Mus musculus: one gene and its partners. The protein of the gene in region 3 interacts with the protein of the main gene of each other region in a pairwise test. Links are inferred from orthologs where the notes say so. Each region holds a gene or a part of one and is shown on either strand. Other genes may lie near its edges.

Evidence for each region.
Region 1: the proteins of Nmi (region 3) and Gcsh interact in binary tests that used the Homo sapiens proteins (3 or more experiments, as listed by UniProt). The two-hybrid records come from large-scale screens. The link is inferred for Mus musculus from reciprocal best matches to the Homo sapiens genes NMI and GCSH.
Region 2: the proteins of Nmi (region 3) and Brms1 interact in binary tests that used the Homo sapiens proteins (3 or more experiments, as listed by UniProt). The link is inferred for Mus musculus from reciprocal best matches to the Homo sapiens genes NMI and BRMS1.
Region 4: the proteins of Nmi (region 3) and Mtmr9 interact in binary tests that used the Homo sapiens proteins (3 or more experiments, as listed by UniProt). The two-hybrid records come from large-scale screens. The link is inferred for Mus musculus from reciprocal best matches to the Homo sapiens genes NMI and MTMR9.

What each region holds. Positions count from the first base shown.
Region 1 is NC_000074.6:116,990,696-116,994,860, forward strand, and holds the start of Gcsh (glycine cleavage system H protein, mitochondrial precursor), read right to left. Parts: upstream 2,804-4,165; 5' UTR 2,732-2,803; coding exon 2,593-2,731; intron 1-2,592. UniProt on the Homo sapiens protein: The glycine cleavage system catalyzes the degradation of glycine. The H protein (GCSH) shuttles the methylamine group of glycine from the P protein (GLDC) to the T protein (GCST).
Region 2 is NC_000085.6:5,039,983-5,044,165, reverse strand, and holds the start of Brms1 (breast cancer metastasis-suppressor 1 homolog), read right to left. Parts: upstream 2,804-4,183; 5' UTR 2,676-2,803; exon of another isoform or gene 2,555-2,675; intron 1-2,554. Other genes in the region: B4gat1 (beta-1,4-glucuronyltransferase 1), read right to left, coding at 3,668-3,859, 4,134-4,183. UniProt on the Homo sapiens protein: Transcriptional repressor. Down-regulates transcription activation by NF-kappa-B by promoting the deacetylation of RELA at 'Lys-310'. Promotes HDAC1 binding to promoter regions.
Region 3 is NC_000068.7:51,970,406-51,974,617, forward strand, and holds the start of Nmi (N-myc-interactor), read right to left. Parts: upstream 2,804-4,212; 5' UTR 2,504-2,803; intron 2,223-2,503; 5' UTR 2,183-2,222; intron 1-2,182. UniProt on the Homo sapiens protein: Acts as a signaling pathway regulator involved in innate immune system response.
Region 4 is NC_000080.6:63,541,151-63,545,181, forward strand, and holds the start of Mtmr9 (myotubularin-related protein 9), read right to left. Parts: upstream 2,804-4,031; 5' UTR 2,490-2,803; coding exon 2,308-2,489; intron 1,975-2,307; exon of another isoform or gene 1,908-1,974; intron 1,307-1,907; coding exon 1,198-1,306; intron 1-1,197. UniProt on the Homo sapiens protein: Acts as an adapter for myotubularin-related phosphatases. Increases lipid phosphatase MTMR6 catalytic activity, specifically towards phosphatidylinositol 3,5-bisphosphate and MTMR6 binding affinity for phosphorylated phosphatidylinositols.

The DNA of each region.
Region 1 (4,165 bases), on a different chromosome or scaffold from region 3:
GCAAAACACGTGTAGCATAAACCTTTTAAGATATGAAAACCAAGCTGGGCGTGGTGGCGCACGCCTTTAATCCCAGCACTTGGGAGGCAGAGGCAGGTGGATTTCTGAGTTCAAGGCCAGCCTGGTCTACAGAGTAAGTTCCAGGACAGCCAGGGCTGCAGAGAAACCCTGTCTCAAGAAACAAAACAACAACAACAAAGATATGAAAACCAAAAGATTTAACCTAAAAAAGGGTAATGTGAGTCTTTAGGTAGAGTTCTCTAAGGTAACTGCAACTTAGTTCTATGGACTGAAACAGGCTTCCTATAAACAATTATAACTTGGCCAAGTTCTTAAAATTCTGCAATTCTTTAAGCCTGTCCTTGAAGAAAGGGCCAAAGCCTTGGCTTCAATTCCCAACCCTGCTAAAAAAAATAAAGGAAAAGGGATTTGGGTCAAAGATGATGCACAGCTATGTGGCTGTGGCTCTCAACTGCCATTCTCTTACAAGTCTAGAACCCCCTGATTACCTTATGACCAACAATCATCACCTCAACACAGCATCTGACCAGGGGCGGACAGTCACAGATCTCTGACCCTTTGCGCTATCCTCGGCCACACCGCTGACAGTGTCGCTGCTCTGCCTCAACTTTGCAGCTTCAGTTTGAGCCAGCAGCATTCTGAGCTCAGCACACCCAGGTCCACTTGCCCTTAAAGTCCATATTGTCCTTTTAGCCCAGGAATGCTACCTAGGCTTAGGCACAGATTACAATTCTCCGTTAACCCTTGACCTCACTGAAGAAAGCAGATTAGGTAAATAATTACTTTCTTCCTAATCCTCGAAAAACACAGTTTGAGACCTGGGGATGTGGCTTTGGGGGATGGGTGCTTGCCTATCACTGTGGTAGCTCTGAGTTCAGTCTCTACCATTGCACAGCTGGGTTTGGTGGTGCTCGGCAGTCCAGTCGCAGCACTGTGGAAGGATCTGAAGTTGTCATCCTCAGCTACACAGGGGTCTCTCCAGCTTCGCAGTGAGAGCAGACCTCAGAGCAGAAACAGACTGGGGGGGGGGGGGGGGGCGGCACACCTAAATCCCAGCACTCAGAGAGGAAGAGGCAGGTAGACTTCTGTGAGTTCTAGGCCAGCCTGATCTACAGAGAGAGAGAGTTCTAGAATAGGGAAGATTACACAGAGAAACCCAGCCTTGAGAAAACAGAAACAAAACCCCACCATGGTTTGGGGCCTCAGAAAATCTGAGCTGAAACTGAAGATACTGCATTCTCAAACACAATAGCTTGCTTAATATGGGTCAGTGGTGCTATCTGGCACTACACACTAATAGTTAATAAAACTATTCACTGCTAATATGTCAAGCTGCAGGTGACAGGACGACTTCCCAGTAACTCTGAGGTAGCTATTGCCTCGCCTCCACTGTTCTAATGCAGGGCACTGGGGTTCTGAGAAGTTGAGAGACTGTGCCCGAGACCACACAGCTCTAAGAGGAAAAACCAGAATTGAATAATGTCTGTGTTTCAACAAGCACAAGGCTCTGCACCCTGCATAATAAGTGTGCACAATTCTGCCAGTTCAAAGAGGGTAAAAATGAAAAGAACCTGAGTAGTTAAGCAGACCGTGGGAATTGACACATTAGGCAATATTTAACCAAATACCTGGAACTCAGTATGTAGCTCCAGCTGCCCTCGGCCTCACAGCGATCCTCCACCTCAGCAGTGCTGACACGGTTACCGGTGGAAGCCACCCACCATGCCTGGTTTGAAACGGACTGCTTATTTGAGCATTTCTTTACCCTTGTACTCCAGTCAATAACGGTCTGGTGTGTGAAAAACTGGAGAAATTTTAGCAAGAAAGGAAGAAACGTGGCACTCCACACCGAGGAATAACGTGATCAACATTTTGAGTTCCACAGATTTCTGACCCACGGCACTCGCTGAGAGCAGCCGTTCCGATTTGTGCTGCCTGAGTAAGGTCTCCACTACTTGCACATAAAACTGTTTCCCAGCTAACTGTGCAAACGCGTACAATGGGCAGGTCTCCCAGCTATTTCCAGTCCGTCAAACCAGGCTCGTTTGAACCCCAGTACACATCAATGACTCAGACGTTAGAACTTTTCCTGCTGTCTGTAGTTCACAGCTAAAGCTTCCTCACTACGCTTGATTTTGCGGGGGGCGGGGGAGAGAGTAAAAAGCTTATTTCTGTTACTCTGACTTTTCATTCATCTGTATATGCATTCTGCTAAATTTTAGTATGTGTTTCTGCTTAACTTCACTTCGCAGTTCCTCGTAAACAAACTGCTGTTAGGTTCCACAGCAAACCTAAGTGCTCCCCACATTTAGGATCTCGGTGCACCTAAAAGCAAGCTCAGCCCGGCACGAGTGGCCGGTTTACCTGCGGGTCCAGCCGTCCTTCCCTCCCAGCTCCACCTTTCTACCCCGGGTTCAAAGTTTGCTCCTGTACTCTCCCGCCTACTTAGGGAGAAAGGCCGCAGAACCAGGATCCCAAGAGCGAGAAGCGTGGGTAGGGCTATAGGTCGGTCCGGCCAGGAGGCTTGGGAGTAGGGCGGGCAGGAGCGGTGACCACGTGCCCTGCACTTACCCGACAGCAAAGCAGATCCGGTGCGCAGTGAGCGGACGGCGGCGGCGCTCGGTACACAGGGCCGCGGCGAGCAGAAGGTCAGGGCGGTGCGCAGGCTGTAGGCCACAACCCGCAAGCTCCTCGACACTTGCAGCGACATGGTCAGAGGTCCGGAGGGTAACTGCGCTTCGCCTCCGCCACCGGGCCGGTGGGGACGGGGTGGGTCCAGAGTAAGCGGAGCACCCAGGCCCGGGGGCGGAGCCCGGGAGAGGCGCGCTCTGATTGGACATCTTGAAGGTTCCACTTCGGATAGGACAACCCGCGCGAGGGGCGTGTGCATGTGGAGGCGCTGAGGCCCGGATGGGGCTGTGTGAGAGGCGCAGATTGGCTGGGCAGGGAGGAGGCGGGGCCTCACTGGAGGGCGGAGAGTAGAATCTTGCGAATAGAAGCTCCAAGTCCGCAATCTAGGAGTTGCCCTGAACTGCATCGCTGCAGGGGCCAGAGAAAGATTCCAGCAAGGATGGTTTTGCTGGGCTAACGCAGTCTCATGCCACTAAGCCAAAAAGTCCTACGGAAGATGAGGTGCCGCCAGGCCCTTAAAGCACACAGTTACGCCTAACTGCACAAGGTCACCCCCATGGGATTCATTTAAGACCGTTCTAGGCATCAAACCCTGTTTCAAAGAAAGAAAGAGGGAGGGAGGGAGGAAAGAAAAAGGACAGAAAGAGAAAAGGGAGCCGGGCGTGGTGGCGCACGCCTTTAATCCCAGCACTCGGGAGGCAGAGGCAGGCGGATTTCCGAGTAAGGAGTTGTCCATCCTCGGAGTTATCAAGTCAGGGACCTCCATTCCTTATGTTCACTGTCAAGGGAAATGGGTTGGCACCACCAAGACAAAACAGGATTTACCCTGAGGTGGCTGCAGATGTCCTTGGAGAGGGAGAGAAGGCTCCCTGAAAAGGCTCAGTGTCCCTTAGCCAAGAGAAAAGCGTAGGATGTACTGGGGGCAGGGAACCCAGAGTCTGTACAGTGGATGAGGGGAAGGGCGGAACAATATATACTAGAAGCTGTACCAGACATTCAAGCCAAACTAGGGCTGCTGGTGGCAAGGAAGTAGCAGTTAGATAAAAACTCTGGTAGATGACAAAGGTGGTGAGCTTCCATGATGGCCAGCTTCATCTACACCCCCCTGAGCTGAGACAAAAGCCCGGTACCTTAAAAACGGGTGGTACCTTTTAAAATGGGCTGTTTCTTCTCCTGCCAGCCCAGCCAGCCTCCTGCTCAGGGACTGGCTCAAGTAGTTCAAGGCCACATCAGGACCGGCTTACACTTGTAGGCCAGCCAGTGATCCTGTCTTTTCTTTAAACTGACCAGCCCTATAGGGAAGACTCTACAGAGCCAGCAAACAAACAAAGCAACCCAACCCTCAAGAAGAGATTCCAGCCTGGTAGCTGCATGCAGCTTTAATCCTAGCACTCAGGGACAGATCTCTGAATTCAATGTCAGCCTGGTCTATAGTGAGTTCCAGAACAGCCAGGGCTATACCAGACAACCAGAGGAACTCTGTCTCCGAAAACCAAAGATAGATAGATAGATA
Region 2 (4,183 bases), on a different chromosome or scaffold from region 3:
GAACTCAGATTCCCATAAATGCTGAGCCCCAACTACCACTGAGCAATATCCTAAGCCCCTAGCACTCCTAAGGACGTGAACAGGAAGCACCTTCCTCTGTGGAAGTTCAGATGCGGAAGCTCAGGGTTTTCCTGAGGAAAAACAGGAGGGGCTGGAGAGGCGGCTCAGCAGGTAAGAGGACACTGACTGCTCTTCCGGAGGCCCTGAGTTCAATTCCCAGCAATCACATGGTAGCTCACAACCATCTGTAATGGGATCCAATGCCCTCTTCTGGTGTGTCTGAAGACAGCTACAGTGTTCTCATTTACATAAAATAAACAAATCTTTTAAAAAAAGGAAAAGAAGGCCGGGCGTGGTGGCGCACGCCTTTAATCCCAGCACAGGCAGAGGCAGGCGGATTTCTGAGTTCGAGGTGTTTCTAGAATTCAATTCTAGGTCTCAATTCCCAGTACTGGAGAGAAAAAAAAAACTAAAAAGCAGAGAGAGCCTGATGAGGTTCATATACATAATCCACACGCTGACGCAGGAGGCCATTCTGGGTTAGACAGCGAAGCTCTGTCTTAAAAAGACACAAAAGCAGTATGTCTGGGGGTACAGGTCAGTGGTAGATTGCTGTCTGAAGAGGCACCTAGACTAGATCTCTCTGGAAAAAACAAACACAAATAAAAAAATAAAGCCAAGTGAGGTGGTACAGGCCTGTTATCTTAGCATTCAGGAGGCAGGGGGATTACTACAAATTCAAGCCCAGCCTGATATACAGTTAGTTTCAGGCTAGCAATAGCTGGTGAGGCTGTGTCAAATCCAAATGAGTAGGTAAAAGAATGAATGCAGAAATATGAAACAGCCCCGTTTAGTTAATTTTCTGTAGTTCTCTGGGCCTTGCGCACACTTGCTATTCTGACTTTCACCTCCTCCTCTTTCAGTGTTTGGATACCCAGCACTCACACTAAAACCACTGCGGCAGAATTACGAATCAATTTCCTTGTAGCAAACACCAACATTTGCCAGTGCTTGCCTTAGGTAACCTTTCAGAAACAGTGAACACTAAGCCCCTCCCCTACCTTTCTTCCTACTTATCCAGTATTTACTAAGCACCTAAAGTGTGCCAGGCACCAACAGTCACCGTGGACTGTGGCAGATGCTACAGTATAGCTATGACAGCCTTTGGCCTCGAGGAAATGACAAATTTCTGGGAGAAACGCAAAGAAGCAGACCTTTATAATGGTGTGAAGAGAGTCAAATTAAGGTGTTATGGGAGGTGTCTACACAGGAGCTGGAGCTTGCTGCTACAGTGACAGCTTCCAGAGGGAGACAGACTAGGTGAGGACCAGGCCGCCTGAGATGGAACATTCCAGGCAGAGTGAAAAACAAGTACAAAGACCTAGAAGTGAGAAAAGGGACCAGGGACACAGGCATGTGAACTTCCACTAGACCCAGGCTCCTCTAGCTACATACGGCAAGTTATTTAGGCTTTGTGCAGTCTGACTTTTCAGGCGGAACTGTGAGAAGGGGCCTCTGTTGGAATTCCCAAGGTCAACAAAGGAGGCAGGAGGAGAAACCTCTGCAGAACAGATTGAAAATCCAAGAGTTAGGGTGGAAGGTATTTTCAGAAGGAAGGAGACAACGAGAGATTGATACTGCCAGGCCCCCAGAGAGAATAGGTCATCTTGGATGTAGATGCTTCTAGTTCACACTGGTGTGATTTCTACATCTCTGGTTGCTGCTCTGTAAGTCTTTCCCATGGGGAAGGCATAACTCCTTCCCCCAGGAAGTTTTTTTTTGTTTTGTTTTTTTCGAGACAGGGTTTCTCTGTGTAGCCCTGGCTGTCCTGGAACTCACTCTGTAGACCAGGCTGGCCTCGAACTCAGAAATCTGCCTGCCTCTGCCTCCCTAGTGCTGGGATTAAAGGTTTCTTTGTTTTTTATCTCATATTCTCCCAGTCTCATGTCCGACCACCCAGTGAAATGTGGGTGTTTCATCAGGACAGGGCAGCAGGCTGTCCTACTCGCCCAGTGCAGTGCCAGCTCACTTGATGACTGGGAATTTCTAAACCCAAATTAAACAACATAAACTTTTGCAGTATAGAAACTGGCTTTTCCTTCTTGGCAACCCTACTTGGAGTAACGCTCCTTCACACCCATGCAAGTAATTATAGCGCCGGACCTGCAGGAGAGTTTAGTAGCATTTCCTCCTGCTCTGAAAATCCAGATCTCCAAAACAGCCTCACTGTTCCCCTTTTCACGCCTCAGACCCTCCACACTGGCAATTCCTTTTCACCGTTGTATATACTCTTTCTAAGACGCAGGATGAATTCAAGGATCTCCTTCCTCCAGCTGACTCTGATCCTGACTTCGTTAAATGAAGTCACAACCAATCGTCCCTCCTTAACCCGGGTACAAATAGGGGATATACCATTGCTGAGGGTTGTAGGGAGTGGAAGAGGCACACGGTAAACGCGCGGTGTATAAGCACCTCCACAGCAAACCTCCAGGGAAAGCAGACCCCTCCCTACAGACACAGAGGACAAACTCTGCGGCGCAAGGAACTATCCCACCTCGATCCACCCTCGGAACCGCGGGCTCCTCTCAGGCCAGCGCGCGAGTCGGGCCGGTTAAGTCTCTGCTTTAGCTCCGATCCGGAAAGCCCAACCCAGCGCCGGGCGTGGCCATACGCACCGCAGACACTGGGGCCTCCGGCCTCACGTCCAGGACTCCCGGAGAGCTGTCCGACCCAGGGTGTGAACGCCGCCGCCGTTGATCTCCGGAACAGTGCTGCGCAGGATTCTCTTTCTCCAGGAGGTGTCGACGCTTCCGTGTGCGTCATCAGGAGGCGCCCATTTGTGGCGCTTACAATGGAACCACTGGTGTCCAGGCATGCCGGGATACGGCGGACGGGTCTCCATAGCAACTGGCCCCCAGTAACCCAGGCCTTCAGCCTGTCCTAGCATTGTGGTCGGTGTCCTTGGGTCCACCGCCGTCTAACACGGTGCTCCGGCCCACCACCCCTCGGCTTAGGAGAGTAACAGAGCCAGCTGTGGGTGTGACATTCGTTTATTTACATAATGTCATCCGAAGGCAAATGAGCAGCCCAACCTACTGGAGGGCACAGATCTGGGACTTTAACCTTTATCTCTTTCCTCCTTCAGGGATCTCGGAGGGCGGAGGGCGAAGGCATGAGAGAACGGGAAACGTTCTTAGCACTACATTCTACGTTTTCATCTTTCTTTCCAAAAGCCTCATTTTATTAAACACTCAAGCTTCCCACCTCTAGCCCATTCAAACTTTTTGCTCTGCCGCTATCCACCCAACATGGTTAATAGTAACAATATCATAATAACACTGTAGCAATATTAATAATACTTCACATTTGTACGAAGTTTACAGGATGTTTACACATACAGCGTCTCATCTGAGCCAACAGTTCTGTGAGGTAGGTATTTTCACCTCCCTTTTTACAGACGGCGTAACGGAGGCTCAGAGAAGTAATAGTATTTGCTCAAGGCCACACAGCTAGTTAGTGGTAAAGCTGAGACTTGACTCCCAGCACCCCATAGTCAAGTCCAGTGTTCCAAACCCATAGCTACCTCTGTAAAGTGGAGGCATGTTTCTTACCCCAGTCAGGCCTGGAGCCAGATACTGACAATTCTCAGACCATGGAAGACAAGGACTCAGCATCGGTGGGGAGAGTTGGGGTACCTAGCCTTCAACTCCTGTTTGAACTGGCGGTAAAGGATCTTATTGCGCTGGTTTTCAGCCTCCTTTTGGGGATGGAACTTCAATGCCTCCTTGAATCCCTTATGAACCAGAAAACCTTCGTTCAGCACCTCAAAATTAAACCCTGCCACGTGCAGCTCACAAGCCTGGAAAAGGGGCGGGGGGGGGGGAGGGAGAGATAGAGGAGGGGAGAGGGAAGAGAGGGAGAGAGACAGGGAGAGGTCACAGTGATTTAATCACAATAACTTAATGATATCCCCAGGGCCCACATGATCATCCCTAAAGTTCCACTCCACTGTCCTCAATTCTCCATCATCCAACCACTTTCTTCTTGCTTCACTGCCTCCTTTCCACCAATGGCCACTTCACCCCTGACACGCCTCCAGTCTTAGTCCTACATGCCCTCTCCCTTTTAAGTACCTGGCTGATTCGATTGAAACCATACTGCCGAAAGCGTTCGTCAAATGTGG
Region 3 (4,212 bases):
TTATAATTGTTTTTAAATATTGTTATTAAAACACCAATATTCTTCTTTTAAACATTTTTTAGATTCATTTTGTTTTTTTTTAAGATTCATTTATTTATTTTGATATATTTTTATATATGAGTACACTGTCACTGTCTTCAGACTCACCAGAAGAGGGCATCGGATCCCATTACAGATGGTTATGAGCCGCCATGTGGTTGCTGGGAACTGAACTCAGGACCTCTGGAAGAGCAGTCAGTGCTCTTACCTCTGTGCCATCTCTCCAGCCCAAAACACCAATATTCTTAAAATCTCTTGCTGTAAGTGGTCTATTACATAGCGCCCCCAGAATGTGTTCATCATATTTCTCATCTAAATATTTTCCCTTTCACACTGTGTGGAATATGTGGTAATTCTTCCCTTTCAAGCAATCTTATAGTAAGCAGAAAAATGACACCTTCAAAGACATCCATGTTCTAGTCCCAAGAACTTGTGAAAACATTAGATTACACTGCAGAGAAGATTTAAGGCTGCAAACTGAATTCAGGATGCTGATTGTAAAATACAGAGGTGGAACCTGGAGAGATGGCTCCAGGGTAAAGAGCTTGCTGGGTAAGCACTGGTACTTCCCATCCTGGGCAAGGTTCGAAGGTGTCCTGAAAGTCACTCTCAGTCTAGCCAAAGTCCAGGTCCATTGAGAGAGCCTGACTCAGAAATTAAGGTGGAGCAAAAGAGAAGACAATATCCAGCCTTCCACCTCTGGCCTCCACAGGTGCATGCTCAGGTATGTACACATATGCACGTGCTAGCCTGCGCGAGTGCACACACACACACACACACACACACACAATATGCAGATCATCCTGCATTGTGTGTGAAAACTTAACATGATCCAGAAGGCCCTCTAGAGTAAGAAGGGGATAACACCAGAGTTAGACTGAACACAGAAACATGATCAGAGAAGCAATGCTGGTCCTAACTTTGGAAATGGAGACGGAATGAGTTCATCCCGAGAGAGCTCCCAGAACAGAAGACAGCTCTGCTAGCCCTTTTACTTTATCCAGGGAGAGCCGCAGATGCCTACAACTGACACACAGACACACACAGACACACACGGGCACACACGGATACACACAGGCACACACAGGCACACACGGGCACACACAATCTAATTTTAAAATAGTACTAAAAGTAAGTATTTTTAAATTGAAAAGTGTGTACATGCACACACATGTATGCATAAGCCACCAAGGCCATGTAATTTATTATGGCAGTAAACTTAAAAAAAAATCATCTCATTTTCCTAGGGATACTTATATCGGGGGGGGGGTGCGGGGGGCGGGTACACAGAGTTCCTGGCAGCATAAAGAAGGAAGAAAATGGGCTGGAGAGATGACTCGGCGGTTAAGAGCACTGACTGCTCTTCCAGAGGTCCTGAGTTCAATTCCCAGCAACCACATGGTGGTTCACAACCACCTGTAATGGGATCCGATACCCTCTTCTGGTGTGTCTGAAGAGAGCTACAGAGTACTCATATACATTAAATTAAAAGAAAGGAAGGAAGGAAGAAATTATAATGTATCCATGTTGTATAGACCAGAAACAAGTCAAAAGATGGATACAATGTTAACAATTAAAAGATCCTAATTGAATTTCTTTTACAATCAGGGCACACTTGATTGAATAAATCGAGTAAGTGGTCTGTCTGAGTGTAGTGGCACAGGTCTGTAACAGGAGGATCAAGAGTTCAAAGCCAGCACAATGTAAATAGAAAGCAGTTGCCTCAAATGTTTTCACTGCTATGCAGAAGTTTGCTTTATAGGCAGAGAAGAAAGCTGAAAATGCAGAAACTGAACTGATTGGTTCACAGTTAAGTTCTCTGCAAGTCAGGGCCGGGGAGACCGGAACAGAATAACTGATTGGTGAATGTTCAAGAGCTTTTTGTGGGGAGTAAAGGAGAGGTGATTTCATTCTCTGGCCCAGTGGAACCTGCTGCTTTCCCTCTCTCCTGGCTGGACAGGACACAGGAAGTTTCCTTCGGGGCACACAAGGTAGCTCGGGTGCCTTTGGAGCAGGAGTCCTCTTAACCCAAACCAGTGCCCGCTAGAACTTACATTGAATATTCTCCTTTCAACATCTCCTTCCAAAAACAACAACAACAACAACAACAACAACAACAACAACAACAACAACAACAACTTACATATTCTGAAAAAGTGAGGCAGGACTACAGAACTCAGCACCTGCCAAAGAAATACAAATAATAGTCTTCCTGAGAAATCCATTTTTCTAAGAACCTTCTGGAGCCAGTCCCAATGACTGTAAGTTTCCTTTTCCCAGGAAGGGAAGCAACCCATGGCCGGAGCGCCTGGAGCGGGCGAGTCTCCAGGCAGCGCACTGGGGACCCAGACCCCGAGTCGCGGCGCTGGAAGCCGCCGCCCACCGCGCGCCGGGTGGAGCATCCCTGAGCGCGGGTGGTGGGACCGCAGGGACGCGGCGGACCGAGGATGGATCAAGCACTCACCCGCTCGCTGCGCAGCTCCCGGAAGCCGGTGCCTTAGAACTGAACTCTACCTCGAAAACACTAACCTGGCTTCAGCGACGAGCAGCGCTCAGTCCCAGGCCTTACTTTCACTTTCGGTTATTAGAAACAGGATGCTTCTGCTCCATGCCCTGAGGACTTCGTCCAGGGCGCCATTGCTGCTGTCTCTTATTATTGGCAGTAACTCCGAGACCTGCTTAGAAAAGCTTATTTATGTGCATTATGCGGAACACGCTGTTGAAAAGCTGGATGGAAACCAGAGCTCTCTATGCAAATCCTCTCTCTGTAACTTTTTAGACGGTTATAAAGTTTGACACAAGCACAAGATAAACCAGGAAGCTGAGAAAGCTGCTTCCTGGGTTGGATTTTATGACCCTTGAAAGTTTTCTTCTAAGCTTTGTTTTTGTTGTGAAGATTTTGTAAACAAACACATCGCTAGATGTGAACTTTTCCTTTGCTAGAAAAATAGCTGGCTTCCGTCAAGAACGGCAGTGTTCCCTAATCCTACATCAAGAACTGGTTACTCCACAGCTAGGCAGCACATGAGCACAGAGCTGTGGAAGACAGCAAAGAGCTATCAGGGCCTCCCTTCTACATGGTGGCGCTCTATATCTGTGCATACTAACTAACGGCTCGGAATAAAATGATGCACTTGGCAGAAGCAAAATTCTTTCCATCAAGAACAGTGATGGAGCCGGGCAGTGGTGGCGCACGCCTTTAATCTCAGCACTTGGGAGGCAGAGTCAGGTGAATTTCTGAGTTCGAGGCCAGCCTGGTCTTAAGAGTGAGTTCCAGGACAGCCAGGGCTATGCAGAGAAACCCTGTCTTAAAAAAAAAAAAAAAAAAAAGTGATGGGGCCCCTAGTTGGTAGCAGGATCTCTGTGAGTTGAAGGTTGAAGGCCAGAGTTCCAGAACAGCTAAGGCTACACAGAGAGACCTTGTCTGGGTAGGATGTGGACACGGGGAGGGGGGTGGGGGTGGTGAAGGCAGTGATAGGACCTACTTTTCAGTGACACCAGAGCCACATAGTAAGACCCTGTCTTTTAAAACAGGTTAAGGGTTTCTTTTGAGTTGTCAGCCCAATTAGAAAGAACAAACACTCAGTGAGTGGTGCACTGGATAAGGAATGGGGCTATCCGGACGTAATACACAGGGGTGGGTTTCCCCTTCGGAAAGGAGATGGGGAAGGGCTGAGAAGATGTGAGAGGGTGGGACTGGGAGGAGAGGAAGAGTTGATGTTGGGATATAAAGTGAATAAACAAATTACTTATTTTAAAAAAGAAACAAGTGGGGGCCTAGCAAACACAGAAGTGGATGCTCACAGTCAGCTATTGAATGGATCACAGGGCCCCCAATGGAGGAACTAGAGAAAGCACCCAAGGAACTAAAGGGAACTACAACCCTATAGGTGGAACAACAATATGAACTAAGCAGTACCCCGGAGCTCTTGTCTCTAGCTGCATATGTATCAAAGGATGGCCTAGTCGGCCATCACTGGAAAGAGAGGCCCATTGGACTTGCAAACTTTATATGCCCCAGTACAGGGGAACGCCAGGGCCAGGAGGGGGGAGTGGGTGGGTAGGGGAGTGGGGGGGGGTGGGTATGGGGGACTTTTGGGATAGCATTGGAAATGTAAATGAGGAAAATACCTAATTAAAAAAATTTTTAAAAAAAGAAAGAAAGAAGTGGTC
Region 4 (4,031 bases), on a different chromosome or scaffold from region 3:
GCATACTTCCAAGTGACAACTACATATGGCAGACTATTCAACTTACATGCTCATTTCTTCCAGTAGAACTTGGCAAAAGCAGAAAGGTTTGTGTGTCATTTCCTCGACAACATATTACTTGATCCTCTACTTCTTGTTGAAAGCCAAACAAAATTCTAATTATAGATTTAAGGCTTTCTCTCTCCTTTTAAGAGCTAAACCCACTATTTTTTTTTTACATAAAGCCCAGTAAGTCAGTTACACAGAAAGAAAATAAAATCAGCTTGACTCTATAATTGCCTAGAAATTACTTTAAACAGTCAGTTGATATAATTGATATAATTTAGTGGCAGCAATTTAAAAGTTGGAGTAACCAAAATAGTTAGAAGAAGGAAAAGAATGTGAGACCTTCATCAGAGACCTTAAACTATCCAAGCAAAGTTTCTATGTGTGGCTCAACGCTTTTATACATGCATAAACAGACACGCCTTAGGTGAACTGGCAAAAACAAATACATACGTGCAGACATGCCAAAGTCACAAATGGCAACTGTTGGTGACAATCACTTGCTTTGTCTGTATACACAACACTGAGAGTATACATCTGACACACAGTGCAATGGTAAGCTAAGAAATGGTACGACAGTGAACTTTATGTGATATGGCTAATTTCTACCACAAAGTCTCAAAATAAAGCTGTTGCCATAGAAGGGTCCTCCAATGACAGCAACCATTTGCCAATAATTATACTAAGCATTCTACATAAACCCACGAATGTAATCGTAAAACACCTATAAAAGGCAGGTAATGTCATCTTCCTTTTATAAGACACTACAGGCTAACTGTGAGAGGTGAGGTGCTTCACCCATAGGCCCCATGTTAACAGGACCTCACTACTGCAACAATCACAGTATAAGAGCACTGCTCAGAGTTGAAGGGTTTCAGAGCTGCTCCACTCAGGATGACCACACTTGCTCACTGTGATGCCCAAGGACTGTAACATGGCCACAATCAGCTACACTGTATTTGTTTTACTGGCTTACAATTTCACATAGGATGTTCTTTCAGGAAATCTACAGAAACAGAAAAACAGTTCACAAACTGTCTTCAGAGCGAAAGTAGCAAGATTCGCACAGTAAATGATTCTTATGCATCAAGGGCTGTACAAAATCAAAATATCGCCATTTTCCTATCAGAATTTTGCCTGCAGCATACTTACCTCAATGGAACTGGCTATATTTAAACACTCCTCCATTCCAGGAATATCCAACTGAATGATTCGGAAATCTTTACATTTTATGATGATGGTACCCAGAGAGCCCACAAATCTGTAAGAAATTACATGAAATCATGAAAATGGTAAGAAAACTAGTGAGGACAGTAGGTGAGAACCAGAACACAGAGAACCAGGGATTCAGTCTTTATCATGCAGGCATGAGAGACCATTGAATACATTTATGCAATAAAGATGAACTGAGGAGTCTAGTAGTCTGCTGATGGTATCTTGTACACAGATACACACATACACACATAAGTAAAAATAAAAAATTTAAAGTGATGGAGTAGGGAAATAAAGATGAATTAGTTCCTATGTTCCTTTAGAGCCAGCCCCTTTCTTTTCACAAGAAAAACTGAATGTTAAGGGCTAATGATTACCCTCAGTGGGAAGTGATCATTCCAGAGAATAAGTAAGATGCAATATGATAAACTCAGTCTTCCCTAAATGAGCAGGGGTGTAAAATTTGTCATCCACCTGCATCGGCACTCCCCATCAGCTATTACAGGGGTGCACCTTACCGATTTTAAAACGTTTTAAGGAGAGACTAAAATGCATATGCATATATATGGAAAAAATGACAGTGTACTCAGTTAAATACTATGGCCAGGCATAGCGGCCCATACACACACAACTGTAATTCCAGCACTTACTTGGGAGGCTGGGGCTGGAGAGTTGGAAGTTCAAGACCGGCCTATGCTGCAAAGGGCTGAGCATGCCTATTTAAAAACGAGATCGTGGGGGAGGGGTCGCTTTAAATTGTATTGAATCATAACTTCGTGAAGTCAGATTAACAACAACCAATAATTCAAGAAATGTGGTGGAAGAAATTTTTTTTTTACAAAGAACATTTAAAAATACGCCCAAATGCTGTTCAAAATGACCACTACGACTCTGAGACCTTAGCCTGGGGATGCCAGGTGGCCAGTGCAGATAGATCTAGGCCCCAGAAGGCTCATTTGGCTGGCTGAGCCAGGATACCCATAAAAAACCACCTGAAAGCGTCTGTTCCGTTCCAGGCTCCTCCGGGACCTGGGTGTGGTGGGCGCTCACCGTTTGTCGATGGCGTCGATATTTGAATGGAGGAGCCAGAGCTCCTCCGTGTTGTCCTGCCGGGAAGACAGGATCAGGTGGTGGCCTGTCAGACACAGGGTCCCTTCCACGGCGGTGTAGAAAGGCCGGTGCAGCACCACATTGTCTACCCGTGGGGTTTTAATCAGCTCCGCAAACTCCATATTGGGCGCAGCCTAGGGGCGGGAGGCCCAGTCCCGCAGGTGCCCGGCGGTTAATCCGCAGACCCGGACGGAGCCCCGGCTGGGCGGGCCCGGGAGGTCGAGCCCCGCCCCGGCTGGGCGGGTGCGCCAGGGCCTGCGGGCACCGCCCTGGCCGCTTCTCCAAGTCTCTTCCGCACCACTGGCCGGGACTCGGTCGCAGAGAAGGCTTCCCGCCAGGCCCTGCACTCCCCGCTGCCACCGGCGTCTGACGGGCGGGCTGCGGAGGAGACGGACCCGGCGTCGGGGCAGCAGCATCCGAGCCCGAGCAGCCAGGGACTTCTGGCGGAAGTAGCTGCTGAGCGTTGCACCCGGCAGGAACTCCTGCACAATTAGAGGGACTCGAGACTCGGAAGACATAGAAACCGGACCGGAAGTTGGTACTTTGCTAGATCCGGTGGAACACAGCCAGAAACAATGACTTTATGGTCCTACAATGGAAAAACAAAACAAAACAAAACAAAACCAACCAAAACCTCTTTCACCTTCTACCGCCGCAATCCTTGCCCTTCAAATATTCCTTATCGGAAAAGGCGAGACGAGAAGACGTCGCTGACCTGCCAGCCTCCACATGAGTGCTGTCCCTCAAGGGCTCTTCGTTTGCGCTACCTGGTAGTTGTCTCATGAATTGGTCACGAAGAGATGTCAAATGTAGGATGGAAGCGGAGGTTGTGATCGAAAAGTAGCATCTTGGTGTCTGGAAGAGACATGGGACAATCTATGCTTTAGACTCTTTGAGAGCGCCATGACTTTAACCAAGAACAGCATATTCTAAAAGGATGGAAAGAGAAACTGACTAATCCTCGCCCTGCGAAAGGACTCTAGTGTCTTCAGAGATAGTTCAGTTAATCTGTAGCAAAGCCTGAAATCAAGACCTTGGTATATTGGTCACGACTTCATAGTATCCCGGCTAAGTACAGTCTAGCTGAACTGCTCACGGACACTGCAATGACAGAGTTTTGCTGTTGTAATTTCCCTCTTCTTTTTTTTTTTTTTTAATTTTTTATTAGGTATTTTCCTCATTTACATTTCCAATGCTATCCCAAAAGTCCCCCATACCCCCCCCCACTCCCCTACCCACCCACTCCCACTTTTTGGCCCTGGCATTCCCCTGTACTGGGGCATATAAAGTTTGCAAGTCCAATGGGCCTCTCTTTCCAGTGATGGCCGGCTAGGCCATCTTTTGATACATATGCAGCTAGAGTCAAGAGCTCCGGGGTACTGGTTAGTTCATAATGTTGTTCCACCTATAGAATTTCCCTCTTCTTGCTTTCTATCCCTCTACTTTATCCCAGAATAAGAATTATGTTTGAGTCCTGGCCTGCTTTTACTGTGTTAGCAGTGAAAATTCTCACCACCCAGTCAGTGTCTACGAACAGCAAGGTAGCTGACTTCAGAGTGTGCAAAGTGAAGTTGACCAGATTGCACAGTGTTTGTCCTTGATTTTGTTCTTGTCTTTTCTAAAAACCTTCCCTTCCTAAATCACTCACTCCTGCGATCCAGTTT